4 linked regions of the Saccharomyces cerevisiae S288C genome follow. Changing the gene in region 4 together with the main gene of any one other region gives a genetic interaction. Each region holds a gene or a part of one and is shown on either strand. Other genes may lie near its edges. The genes, in order: ADE2, ICS2, TCA17 and YDL241W.

What was found.
Region 1: mutations in YDL241W (region 4) and ADE2 together harm fitness more than expected from each alone (negative genetic interaction), as found in Saccharomyces cerevisiae (one large-scale study listed by BioGRID).
Region 2: mutations in YDL241W (region 4) and ICS2 together harm fitness more than expected from each alone (negative genetic interaction), as found in Saccharomyces cerevisiae (one large-scale study listed by BioGRID).
Region 3: mutations in YDL241W (region 4) and TCA17 together harm fitness more than expected from each alone (negative genetic interaction), as found in Saccharomyces cerevisiae (one large-scale study listed by BioGRID).

The regions. Positions count from the first base shown.
Region 1 is NC_001147.6:563,958-567,930, reverse strand, and holds ADE2 (phosphoribosylaminoimidazole carboxylase ADE2), read left to right. Parts: upstream 1-1,739; coding exon 1,740-3,455; downstream 3,456-3,973. Other genes in the region: AFI1 (Afi1p), read left to right, coding at 1-1,054; GTPase-activating protein RGA1, read right to left, coding at 3,738-3,973.
Region 2 is NC_001134.8:552,995-556,248, forward strand, and holds ICS2 (Ics2p), read right to left. Parts: upstream 1,317-3,254; coding exon 549-1,316; downstream 1-548. Other genes in the region: SLI15 (Sli15p), read right to left, coding at 1-206.
Region 3 is NC_001137.3:64,149-66,714, forward strand, and holds TCA17 (Tca17p), read right to left. Parts: upstream 1,020-2,566; coding exon 561-1,019; downstream 1-560. Other genes in the region: FRD1 (fumarate reductase), read right to left, coding at 1,237-2,566. UniProt on the Saccharomyces cerevisiae protein: Required, together with the TRAPP II subunit TRS33, for TRAPP II complex assembly or stability, and for proper Golgi localization of TRAPP and the Rab GTPase YPT31.
Region 4 is NC_001136.10:18,847-21,517, forward strand, and holds YDL241W (uncharacterized protein), read left to right. Parts: upstream 1-1,788; coding exon 1,789-2,160; downstream 2,161-2,671. Other genes in the region: YDL242W (uncharacterized protein), read left to right, coding at 113-466.

The sequences.
Region 1 (3,973 bases), on a different chromosome or scaffold from region 4:
CCTTCTGGACGCTTTGAAAAGACGAGAAATTCCACCTAATATAGCACTAAAAGATGAATATATCATGTTTTATAAAGATTTTTTCATTTTCCCGGAGTTCTTTGATTATTTTACACTGCATAGTATTGAACTATTGTCTAACTTGGATAATTGTTTATTTAGCTTAGGAAACACATGCCAGTTATTTTCCACAGAGCAAATATATTCCCAATTAAGCCAAATATTGGACATTGTTAAAGAGCTGTTTCGCATGGTATCGGTAAGCAGGACAAACATTGAGAAGTTTTTAAACGCTTGTTTGAACTATTCTCCGTTCAAAATATTACCCACAGCTCAGTTACACGGTGATAATATTTCTAGGTGGAGTTTTGAAAGCGAAGTGCGTCAGGGTTTCGATAATTTTAACAGCTATATGGGCATCGAAAAAGATCCCCACGGTGTTATAGTATCAGCAATAGATCTTTTTACTCAAATTTACAGTTTTGATATCTTGGCGTTTTTCCTCACATTTATTACAAAAGAAAGTGGGCAGGATTTGCCCTTCACAAAATCTCTGTCCAGGAGAAGAACGTATTTGACCAGAATTGCTCAATCTTCTTCATTGAGACAGTTTTTACAACTGAGTACACGCCCTAATATAAGGATTCTGGGAGGTAATGGGCAGGGTACTGGAAATTCCAATTATCCCGAATTTACAAACGCATCCTCAGTCATCTCACCCAAGCTAAGGGCTTCTCCTCTACTAGAAAGAAGGGCGTCAAAAATCTGCTATGCTATTACGAAATTACTCTATAGGTTAGAATGTCATCCCATAGGTATGGCCCTTTTAAAGAAGTATCTCCACAATCAATTGCGAGAAGCCTATCTAGAATCAAAACGACACTTTATTTCCAAAAAGGGAGATTCGACCAACACTTCCTCTACCATTGCATCATCATCTTTCGCTGGCGCATCTGTTCCTCTATCTTCAAACGAATCAGGAATGCTAAACGGCTTGAAGCAAATTAACGAACAACAAGAATCTACATTAGAAACCACTCAAAAGGAAGACTAGTAACGCCGTATCGTGATTAACGTATTACATAAGTTACAGGATTCATGCTTATGGGTTAGCTATTTCGCCCAATGTGTCCATCTGACATTACTATTTTGCATTTTAATTTAATTAGAACTTGACTAGCGCACTACCAGTATATCATCTCATTTCCGTAAATACCAAATGTATTATATATTGAAAGCTTTTGACCAGGTTATTATAAAAGAAACTTCATGCTCGAAAAAGATCATTTCGAAAAGTTGCCTAGTTTCATGAAATTTTAAAGCAGTTTATATAAATTTTACCTTTTGATGCGGAATTGACTTTTTCTTGAATAATACATAACTTTTCTTAAAAGAATCAAAGACAGATAAAATTTAAGAGATATTAAATATTAGTGAGAAGCCGAGAATTTTGTAACACCAACATAACACTGACATCTTTAACAACTTTTAATTATGATACATTTCTTACGTCATGATTGATTATTACAGCTATGCTGACAAATGACTCTTGTTGCATGGCTACGAACCGGGTAATACTAAGTGATTGACTCTTGCTGACCTTTTATTAAGAACTAAATGGACAATATTATGGAGCATTTCATGTATAAATTGGTGCGTAAAATCGTTGGATCTCTCTTCTAAGTACATCCTACTATAACAATCAAGAAAAACAAGAAAATCGGACAAAACAATCAAGTATGGATTCTAGAACAGTTGGTATATTAGGAGGGGGACAATTGGGACGTATGATTGTTGAGGCAGCAAACAGGCTCAACATTAAGACGGTAATACTAGATGCTGAAAATTCTCCTGCCAAACAAATAAGCAACTCCAATGACCACGTTAATGGCTCCTTTTCCAATCCTCTTGATATCGAAAAACTAGCTGAAAAATGTGATGTGCTAACGATTGAGATTGAGCATGTTGATGTTCCTACACTAAAGAATCTTCAAGTAAAACATCCCAAATTAAAAATTTACCCTTCTCCAGAAACAATCAGATTGATACAAGACAAATATATTCAAAAAGAGCATTTAATCAAAAATGGTATAGCAGTTACCCAAAGTGTTCCTGTGGAACAAGCCAGTGAGACGTCCCTATTGAATGTTGGAAGAGATTTGGGTTTTCCATTCGTCTTGAAGTCGAGGACTTTGGCATACGATGGAAGAGGTAACTTCGTTGTAAAGAATAAGGAAATGATTCCGGAAGCTTTGGAAGTACTGAAGGATCGTCCTTTGTACGCCGAAAAATGGGCACCATTTACTAAAGAATTAGCAGTCATGATTGTGAGATCTGTTAACGGTTTAGTGTTTTCTTACCCAATTGTAGAGACTATCCACAAGGACAATATTTGTGACTTATGTTATGCGCCTGCTAGAGTTCCGGACTCCGTTCAACTTAAGGCGAAGTTGTTGGCAGAAAATGCAATCAAATCTTTTCCCGGTTGTGGTATATTTGGTGTGGAAATGTTCTATTTAGAAACAGGGGAATTGCTTATTAACGAAATTGCCCCAAGGCCTCACAACTCTGGACATTATACCATTGATGCTTGCGTCACTTCTCAATTTGAAGCTCATTTGAGATCAATATTGGATTTGCCAATGCCAAAGAATTTCACATCTTTCTCCACCATTACAACGAACGCCATTATGCTAAATGTTCTTGGAGACAAACATACAAAAGATAAAGAGCTAGAAACTTGCGAAAGAGCATTGGCGACTCCAGGTTCCTCAGTGTACTTATATGGAAAAGAGTCTAGACCTAACAGAAAAGTAGGTCACATAAATATTATTGCCTCCAGTATGGCGGAATGTGAACAAAGGCTGAACTACATTACAGGTAGAACTGATATTCCAATCAAAATCTCTGTCGCTCAAAAGTTGGACTTGGAAGCAATGGTCAAACCATTGGTTGGAATCATCATGGGATCAGACTCTGACTTGCCGGTAATGTCTGCCGCATGTGCGGTTTTAAAAGATTTTGGCGTTCCATTTGAAGTGACAATAGTCTCTGCTCATAGAACTCCACATAGGATGTCAGCATATGCTATTTCCGCAAGCAAGCGTGGAATTAAAACAATTATCGCTGGAGCTGGTGGGGCTGCTCACTTGCCAGGTATGGTGGCTGCAATGACACCACTTCCTGTCATCGGTGTGCCCGTAAAAGGTTCTTGTCTAGATGGAGTAGATTCTTTACATTCAATTGTGCAAATGCCTAGAGGTGTTCCAGTAGCTACCGTCGCTATTAATAATAGTACGAACGCTGCGCTGTTGGCTGTCAGACTGCTTGGCGCTTATGATTCAAGTTATACAACGAAAATGGAACAGTTTTTATTAAAGCAAGAAGAAGAAGTTCTTGTCAAAGCACAAAAGTTAGAAACTGTCGGTTACGAAGCTTATCTAGAAAACAAGTAATATATAAGTTTATTGATATACTTGTACAGCAAATAATTATAAAATGATATACCTATTTTTTAGGCTTTGTTATGATTACATCAAATGTGGACTTCATACATAGAAATCAACGCTTACAGGTGTCCTTTTTTAAGAATTTCATACATAAGATCACTTATTATACATACATACATATCCAGTAACAAGAAGCAAGGAATAATTACCTGCTTAAGTCTGCGATTAAAAAAATAACGTTTCGATACAGTTCATATAAGGCGGCTCAATGCAGAACCGAGGATAGCGCTACGTCAGGATATCTTTGTAGTTCCCAAATATAAATGCGACAATATAGTTTCTTTCTTTCATATCAATAATATCCTTTTCTCCACTGAAATCACGAATCAAACCTGGAGCAAAAACTAAAGCCAAATTATAAAGCGTCATTCGATTCCAGTGACTGTACCGTGTAACCTTTTCTATATGTTCACTCAGTACTCTTAACACCCTATAATGTTCCCTTGGAAGGTCTTCCAATATGT
Region 2 (3,254 bases), on a different chromosome or scaffold from region 4:
TCTTCCATCTTTTTGTCTTCATACTTGAGTGTATTCATATAAACATTATTTCTTAACCATTCACTACTTTCGTACAATCGTTGATTTATTTCTGAATGTGCATCTGTTGTTAGATTATTTAGATCATCGAGGGTTTCTATGATTGAACGGGTAGAGCCTGGCTTCCTTTGAGTTTTCTTCCTAGCTGCTTTGATTGCCCAGTCCATTGTTTAAATCTTCGGGCTCTTTCAAAGTCCGTCAGTTGAGGAGATACTTTGAAACGTTTTGTTTGTATCATTGGCAATACTTGAAACGAGTTTTTGTTTGTTTTCTTTTTTTAGTTAATTCGCGAAATTTAAAATATGAAGATCGGTTTCAGAACAGAATGGATCAGGCTTTTCCGCGTATAAGAAATAATAACACTGACATAACGCTATAACGAAACAGCGTAACAAAATACTCTTTACATGGTTTATTTTTATATATTCATTTAACATTATCAAAACTAACATTAAGTCCTTTATTTATCAAAACAAACGAAAAAAAAAAATGCGAGACAAATGATCCAGTCATTTATTGTCAATATCTAAGTCAATTAGTGGTTGCAATATGTCTCCAGTTTCCACTTTATGAGCAAAAATTTTGCCCTCAATATTTATCTGATTTTTTTCAGCGAATTCTTTCAAACTCCCGAATCTACCGCTTGCGTTTCTTCTTAATTGTTCATTGGTATTCATGATTGTGTTTTTCGGGGACATTTGGTGGGTATATGAAGTATCCGGTGAAGAATGATATTCTTTGTCCAAGAAAGAACTTGCCAATGAAGTTTTTCTTGAATTGACGCCTATGCTTGAATTAGAATCGTACCCGTCAATGAAATTTGGCTTACAAGACCTGCTGAATGAGATTGCATGACTTTTTCTGTGGTAACTTTTCCTTCGCCCTGAAGGCTTTGTAAGTTCGTGTGATAATGAACGTGAATGCGAATGTGATGATAATTCATTACTTTCTACCCTTAAAGGTGATACCGCATTAGGCTTTCTTGGACATATGGAGGAATTTCTCCTCGTTTTCACACCATCCTTGTCTCCAGGGAAAGAGTAGGTCTTCAGCTTGTTGAACAGAGCTTCGCCTTGAGACTCTTCAAAATAAAAGCTCTTTTCGTACTCATGGGGTTGTTTGCTGCTATCGAACTGAGATTCTGTTGAAGAGAGAGAGCTGAAACGTCCATAGAGTGGGCTGCCAAGTGATTTAATGGATGTACTAGATTGACTGCCCGTAGTAGGAAAACTAAATGTGCTTATTCTTTCTCTTTCTTTTTGCTCAAATTTGCCCATATCTTGCTGGAAAGGGAAACTTCAGTGAAGTAATAACGAAGGTGGTGTAGAGTATAAATTTTTATTAAGTATGCGCTTTGACGTTCACATATTTGTAAAAGATTTATTTGAGAAGATAGAATGGGTCTCATTTATTTATACTTAAATGCTTCTTTGGATGTCAAGCTTTCTTGATGCCGGACTTGCAGTCGAAGGGCTCTTTCCCAACAGATATGTAACCAAATGCGTCGAATAGAAAAAGAAAGTCTTCCAAGGAAAGTTTATTACGAGGGGTTTTGTGCATTAACGTGGCATATAATTAGGTATAAACTCAAGGTTGGCTTAAGATTAGCGAAACAAAAGTATAAACGACCCAAAATTGGAGTGGATGTGTTCTTTAACACATAAACTGTCGTACAAAAAAAAAAGAAACAAAGAGCAGTTGAAAGAACATCAAGATCATAAGGACCCCCATATCGTGATAATCATTGATGACCAAATCGTGAACTCCCTGCGCCTATGCCGTGCCATAGCAAATAAAGTACTGGGCTGGATTGTTAATGACTTGCATATTAACGACAGGTAAACGGTACCCTATTTTTCTTTTTTACGTGCTACGGACGAAAAGTGAGGGTGATTAACGCTTCAAATAAGAAACGACGGCTAGCAGGGTCTAGATGCGTGAGATGAGATAAGGAAAAGAGCTCTGTGTCCCAGGTAATAATCCCTGGAGAGATATAATCTTCCCTACAACTTGATTGCATATTAACGCTCCCAAGTTGTGGCCATTGAAGAGCTCTACAGCAATGTCCCGACGAACGGAAATAACCCTCTTTTTCATGATATTTTCGGAGTTATCTCCACTGTCAACAACTATTCTCGAATATAACAGAATGAAAGGGATCACGTACGCTTGTTATATTGCTGTCGTTCTCCGTTCGCAATCCCATTATATGCGAGGGGCAAAAGAAGAGACGGCCGGTAACTCATTTTTTGGTGTGTGAGAATTGCGGAAGCTTCGTTCTCCCACCTTTTTTCGCTGTGTTTTTCTTGTCCTCAGCACCGGCTGGTCAAGCCGGTGCTGAACGGCCGGAGAGAAATATAAACGGATGAAAACGTGTTAATAATTGCATCAGTAGTAGGTGGCGGGGTTGTCTCATTTTTGTTATGGCGTAAGGTGAAAAATTGTAAAGGATTGGTTCGGTTGGGTTGGCGACAATTAATTATGGGATAAAAAATTGCTTAATCTTTATTGGAGCAATTACCTGCATAGGCACTCATAGGCCACAAGGGTTTGATGGCGGAAGGATGTTATACCTACGATACTACCATACATGTGATATGTCACTTTCTAGTCCGAAGCGTGGAACATATTATCTTGTTTGACGTTGTGGGTGTTAACCGTAATTGTCTGGGTACGCCGAAGGCACGGAGACCATGTTAAAATATGTTTCTCTTTTTTGCTCATTTTTTTCTATTTTTTGCTGCGCATTGCCCGAAGCTTTTCTTAGTGGTAGTCTGCTCTCGCGCTCTTTGTTACACTCGCAAAATTTTTTTGCTGGGCAAAATAAAGCACTCTCCGGCCATTACTGGCTGTCGTCCGCCAGGATTTTCATTAACTTGCAGAAGTAAACAAACAAAACACAATTATGACACCGTGGAAGTTTCCTAAATGGTAACAAAAAGCTTAATTGAAAGAAAGAATTTCCTTCAACTTCGGTTTCCTGGTTCCGCTATTTCTCGCTTGTTTCTTCTATTGGACTTAGGATGTCTCATCAATCATCTTATTCCTGCTGGTGTTTTTTGTATCGCCTTGCCTTGGAGTGTTTATGCTTGTCCTTTGTTCAGTAACCATTCTTCAAGTTTGTTTCAAGTAGTAGGATACCTTCAGATATACGAAAGAAAGGGAGTATAGTTGTGGATATATATATATATAGCAACCCTTCTTTATAAGGGTCC
Region 3 (2,566 bases), on a different chromosome or scaffold from region 4:
AAACCCTTTTTTTTTTTTTGGTAGTATAAATATCTTTATACGTACATACGTGAACAATCACATCATATCTGTCAATTCTCGTTGTAACCATAACCTAGCACTTATTTCAGACTTTCCAAAGGTCGCAGTATCTTTATGACGAGCCATCCCATGTAAAAATTGCCGTGCCGGATATGAAGTGACAAAGATCAGTCTATATCTCGGAAAGCCAACAAATATCTTCATTATGAAGTAACGTATAGTGATTGCTTCCACATCTGTTCAATTCGGACAATTTTCGTTAGCAGTAGAGTCAAAGCGATCGCCTTAATTGTCTCCGTATCTTATTTATTCATGAACAGCATGACAATTGACAGTCACTTGAATGAAGTAGAAAGTTTGATTGTCACGGTCATCTGAGATATACTACCGGCACCTGATCCCCGCTAATTAGGCAAGGCGAAACTGTCACCAAGTTGGACATATTAGACATTAATAACTTCTCTGAATCGCTCTCACTCCAAAGCAGTGACATTAAATTTTGCTTTCATTCGTGAAAGAATCGACTAATAAATTATCATTTATAATTCAACTTCAGTTGAAATAAACAACTCATCAAATTTTCTTTCCAAGCTTTTTATAATGGACTTTTCGTCACCGCTAACAAGTAAAGGATTACATTTGACACGTATATAGATTTTTCTTACGGTTTCGAAAATCTGATTGATTGCTTCAAATTCATCATCAGCTCCACTTAGGCTTTTTTGTTCAAATCCAATGACAATCTTCAGGCCCGTCTGCTTAATCAACATAGCAAATACAGAGACACCTTCCAATTGAAAAATTGACTTCAGAAGAGGTTTGGAATCTAAAGAATGCCATTCAACCAAAGCACTTTCAAAATAATCTAACGATATGTTAGAAAGCACGTTATATTTGAGTACATCATTCATCTCATTCTCCGCCTCATTAGGGACGTAAATCAATATAGGTTTATCAGATTCATCTATCAATGATACGAAGCAAGGCCTCAAGCTCATAGTTTGGTGATATAAACGTACAATTTGATTTTTGGAGAGAATATTTACTCAATTTTCAACTCAATAACTTTTATGTAAAATGTTTCTTGGCCGTCGATGAGCTCTTCCGGCAGAACTTCGAAAGTGAAAAAAAAAAAAAAAAAAAAATAATAATAATATTAATACTACTTATATACTATTAAAAAATCGTTTAGAAATGATTCATTTATAAAATTCGTTACTTGCGGTCATTGGCAATAGATTCAGCTGCGGTTCTCCCAAAGACAACGCATTCTAACAAACTTGAACCACCCAACCTATTGGCGCCATGAACACCGCCAGAAACTTCACCGGCCGCGTACAGGCCTTTTAGTAGCCTTTCGTCGTTCTTGCCAATGACTTGAGCCTTGACATTGATTCTAGCACCACCCATGGTGAAATGGACAACCGGTGTTACTTCACCAATAAAAACCACAGTTTCTGGAGTAACGTCAGAGCCAAATTCGTTGAGAATAACGGTACGTCCCAACGGATCAGCCTTGGTAGTGAAGGAAGAGTATGTTTGCAATTCCTCGCATAATTGGGCGACAGTGATTGGTAAATTATATTCAGAAACAACTTGAGATAATGTCAATTTCTGTACAAGTTTCTTGAACATGTAAAAATCTAAATTATTCTTCAAATCTGTGTACATTTTTTCGCCCATAACCAATAGTGCTCTGTTATCCTCTTGAGGACAAACCTTTTGAATAGCTGCAGTGACTACATCTCTTGTGGTCAATTCGTTGACAAATCTTCTACCGGTAATAGGGTTTAATAGGATACCACCAAGACCTCTTAAGGATTCGGCAGCCAAGAATTTCCAGCTTGAGCTACGGTCATTTGGATCAATGAACCCAGTTGGATGAACTTGAATTTGGTCCATGTCAATCAGATCAGCGCCTAACTTCTGCAGAAGCCTTTGACCATCACCAGTTGTTTGTTGCCCGTTTGTTGTTGGCAAGTTCACCAGTTCGGGTGCGTATTCTTTAAGCATTTCCTTAGAAAAGCCAAACCCTCCAGAACAAAAAACGACATCGTTAGCACTCACCATGTGCTTTTCGCCATTCTTGTCCTCGTACACTACAGCAGAAATGGAGCCATCCTTTTCATGGATGTCTACGACTTTACTGTCTAAGTTAATCTTAACTAACTCTGGTTTAGTCTCAGCTAATTTCTTCAAATTGTTAGATAAGGCAGAAACAATTTCGAAACCTGGAGGCAACTTCCCAGACGATCTGTGAGTTCTTGCCACAGAGTGGCCACCCAATTGAGCCAATAGGTCCAATTTCAAATCAAATTCGTTTTTCAACCATTCAATAGCCAGGGGAGAATCATTGGCCAACTTAGCCATTAATTCTTGGACACCTTTACCTTTAGCAGACTTGATGGTGTCATCTTCAAATAAGCGTGGGGAGTCCTCGATGTGGAAGTGACGTTGAGTCTCGGTGCAAGCACCGTTAATACCACTGGAGGCCTTGATAGAGTTCCCACCGATCGAGGAAGCCTTTTCGAGGATGGTTACAGGG
Region 4 (2,671 bases):
CAAAAATCTGCCCCCAATTTGTTCGAGGATATTTAGTGCAACTTAGTTGGGTCTTGGAACGAGGTCTGCTTACTAATTTTATGTTGACGGTTGAAAGCGGATTTTAAAACGTATGAATTTAGAAGAGAGCCAATCAAATAGGGGTACGCTTAATATTAAAAAAATATTAGTAATTGTTTGTATGACGAATAAAATTTGTAAGCACCTGATCCAATCCTTATTATTGAGCAAGAGACGTCTTGTTTCTGTACTCTTTGATAACTATCAAGGCGACATGAAACTAAGGTCATCTCCATCTGCCATTCCTCTAGTTCCGTCAACGAAAATTCTTCAAGCTATGGAGGCCCGGAACGACATTGTTGACAGTCTGATCATCAATAGTCACGCAACGGAAAGTGATCGCCGGACTTTAGGAGACCATGAGGTTAGACAATGTGAGGATACCAACTTCGGCTTCAAAATTTGATACAGGTTAATTTTGAAGGCAACATTTAGGTTCGGCCTTATTTAAAAAAACCTTCAGGTACGCGTTCAAGATCCCATTTTAAAGGTATAGGCAGATTGCACTATTTTACCGGCAAATGTGCGAATATCGAAACTGGAAGATGTTTTCAAGAAAATTGATTTAAGATCCATTTGTCGTGTTTAGAGTTCTCATTGTTCTGGTCAATGATTTCAAACTCAAAAGGCACAAGAAACTTACAAAATTTGTTTCTTATGAACATTACGCCATGTTCTTTGCGAGCATGTGCTATACAGTCTTGCTAGAAAATGGCCCTATAATTAGAAAGCTCAAAAAATAACCCAATGCTGCATCGATTTTTGGAGAAAGGGGGTCAATCATCATCTATCTTCATAAATAACGAGTTGCAGAAAAATTGGAAACTGGTTGATTTTGAAAAGTTTTCATTTTTCTGGCAACAAATTATAGCTACAAAAAAAGAAGTTATGGCGCATAAGATGCATCAATATATGGTGTGACCAGATTGGACGTAACTAGTACTCATGTTATTATTCATATCCTTCATTTTTCCTTCTTTTCTTCTCCTTCTCGAACAGTAACTTCAGATTGAAAGACGTGAGGATGCTTTAGAATGCACATTAAAATTAATATACTACTGGCCTCTTGTGTTTGTCATTGGCTTCTATTTTCAATAAAACATCCAGACAACCCTGCTGTTAATTTTGGAAAAAAAATTTCGCCGATTCTAATCATGTGACTCCTTTTCCCCAGGCAATACCGGAGAAAGCGTTCTATCTCAAACTATATAATTTGCGCTGCTCGTCTCCAAGCCCATGCTAGTGTTTACTTTCGGTTGTAAAAGGTAACTAGAAGTTTTAACGCAAGCATTGTATTATATTTTCCCACAATTGCTCTTAAGGACCTTTTTTTTTCTTGCGTGATCCTGCACTATTGAAAAGTCTTTATCAAAAATAGATGAAACTTTTTCAGGGTTCAACATTTAGAGGCTTTTCTCATATTCTTTACTCAGTTGCCTGCGAAGACCCTTCTGCCCGCTGCGCATTTTCTTAGAAAATCAAAAAAATTGCCTTTTCATCTTTTACCTTCCGAGTTGAATATGTTGACTATTTGCAAACAGGCGTATGATTGTCGTATATAACAGGGCACTTTCGGCAGTGAATCAATAGGAGGCGTATAAGAAAAGCCAATTAGTACCTATATATATATATATATATATATATATATATATATATTCCTTTATTATAATTCCTATCAGCGATTTTTGCATCACACCCAAGAAAAATCTATAATAGAGACACAAAAAAATGAACGTAACTGAAAATGCTCTATTGTTTAAGTGCGGTAGCAAGGGCTATATTAATCAAACCTATACGCCGACAGAAATTTATAATTGTGGGGTAGCTGAAGGAAAGAAAACTGCTAAAGAAAAGAACCCAACTTATTCAATTTTTTATGATACATTTCTCACTGGGCAGCCTGCTGAAAGTCCTGAAACGTTTACGTGTGGTTCGCATGGCTTCACAAATGCGAGTTATGTGGCAAGCGACTTTTATGCATGTGGTTTTCTGCAAGGGAAAGGTACAGAAACCAATGCGGGAATACATAATACAAGGCCTTCTCATTCTCTCGCCAAATTTACCATACTGTTCATGCTAGTGTTGTATACAATTGTCTAATTCTCAAGGTATGACACTTTGGATTGGTGGTCGCAGTAGCCACCATATAATTTTTTATCGTTTCTACATATAATACGAGACAGTCAGACAGAACTTTGGGTCGCCTGAGAAGAAAGACTATAAAAATGTAACCCGTCAGTAGGACTCATCTTAAAACAGTGGGTAATTTACTAAGGAGGCTGGAAAAACTGCGATAATCGGCTTATAGTACATATATATAGAATAATCATTAATCGAGCCTTTACCGCGAAATTCATGGATTTCTCAAAAACAAAGGTGCAATTACATGTTAAGCACCGAATTTCTATGCGAAACAGGTCCGTCTCATCAGTCATAGCTTTCCAAGTATATAAAACTTGAACGCAAAAGTGCGTCATCGACGCCTTTTTTTGCGCAAGGATTGTTACTATTCATTTAATGAACTCTGATGTCTTAATAAGCCAATGGTATCCATAAGTGAAGGTGAAGTCTACTGTGTTACATTAGCAAGTCAGAACTCCTATACGATACA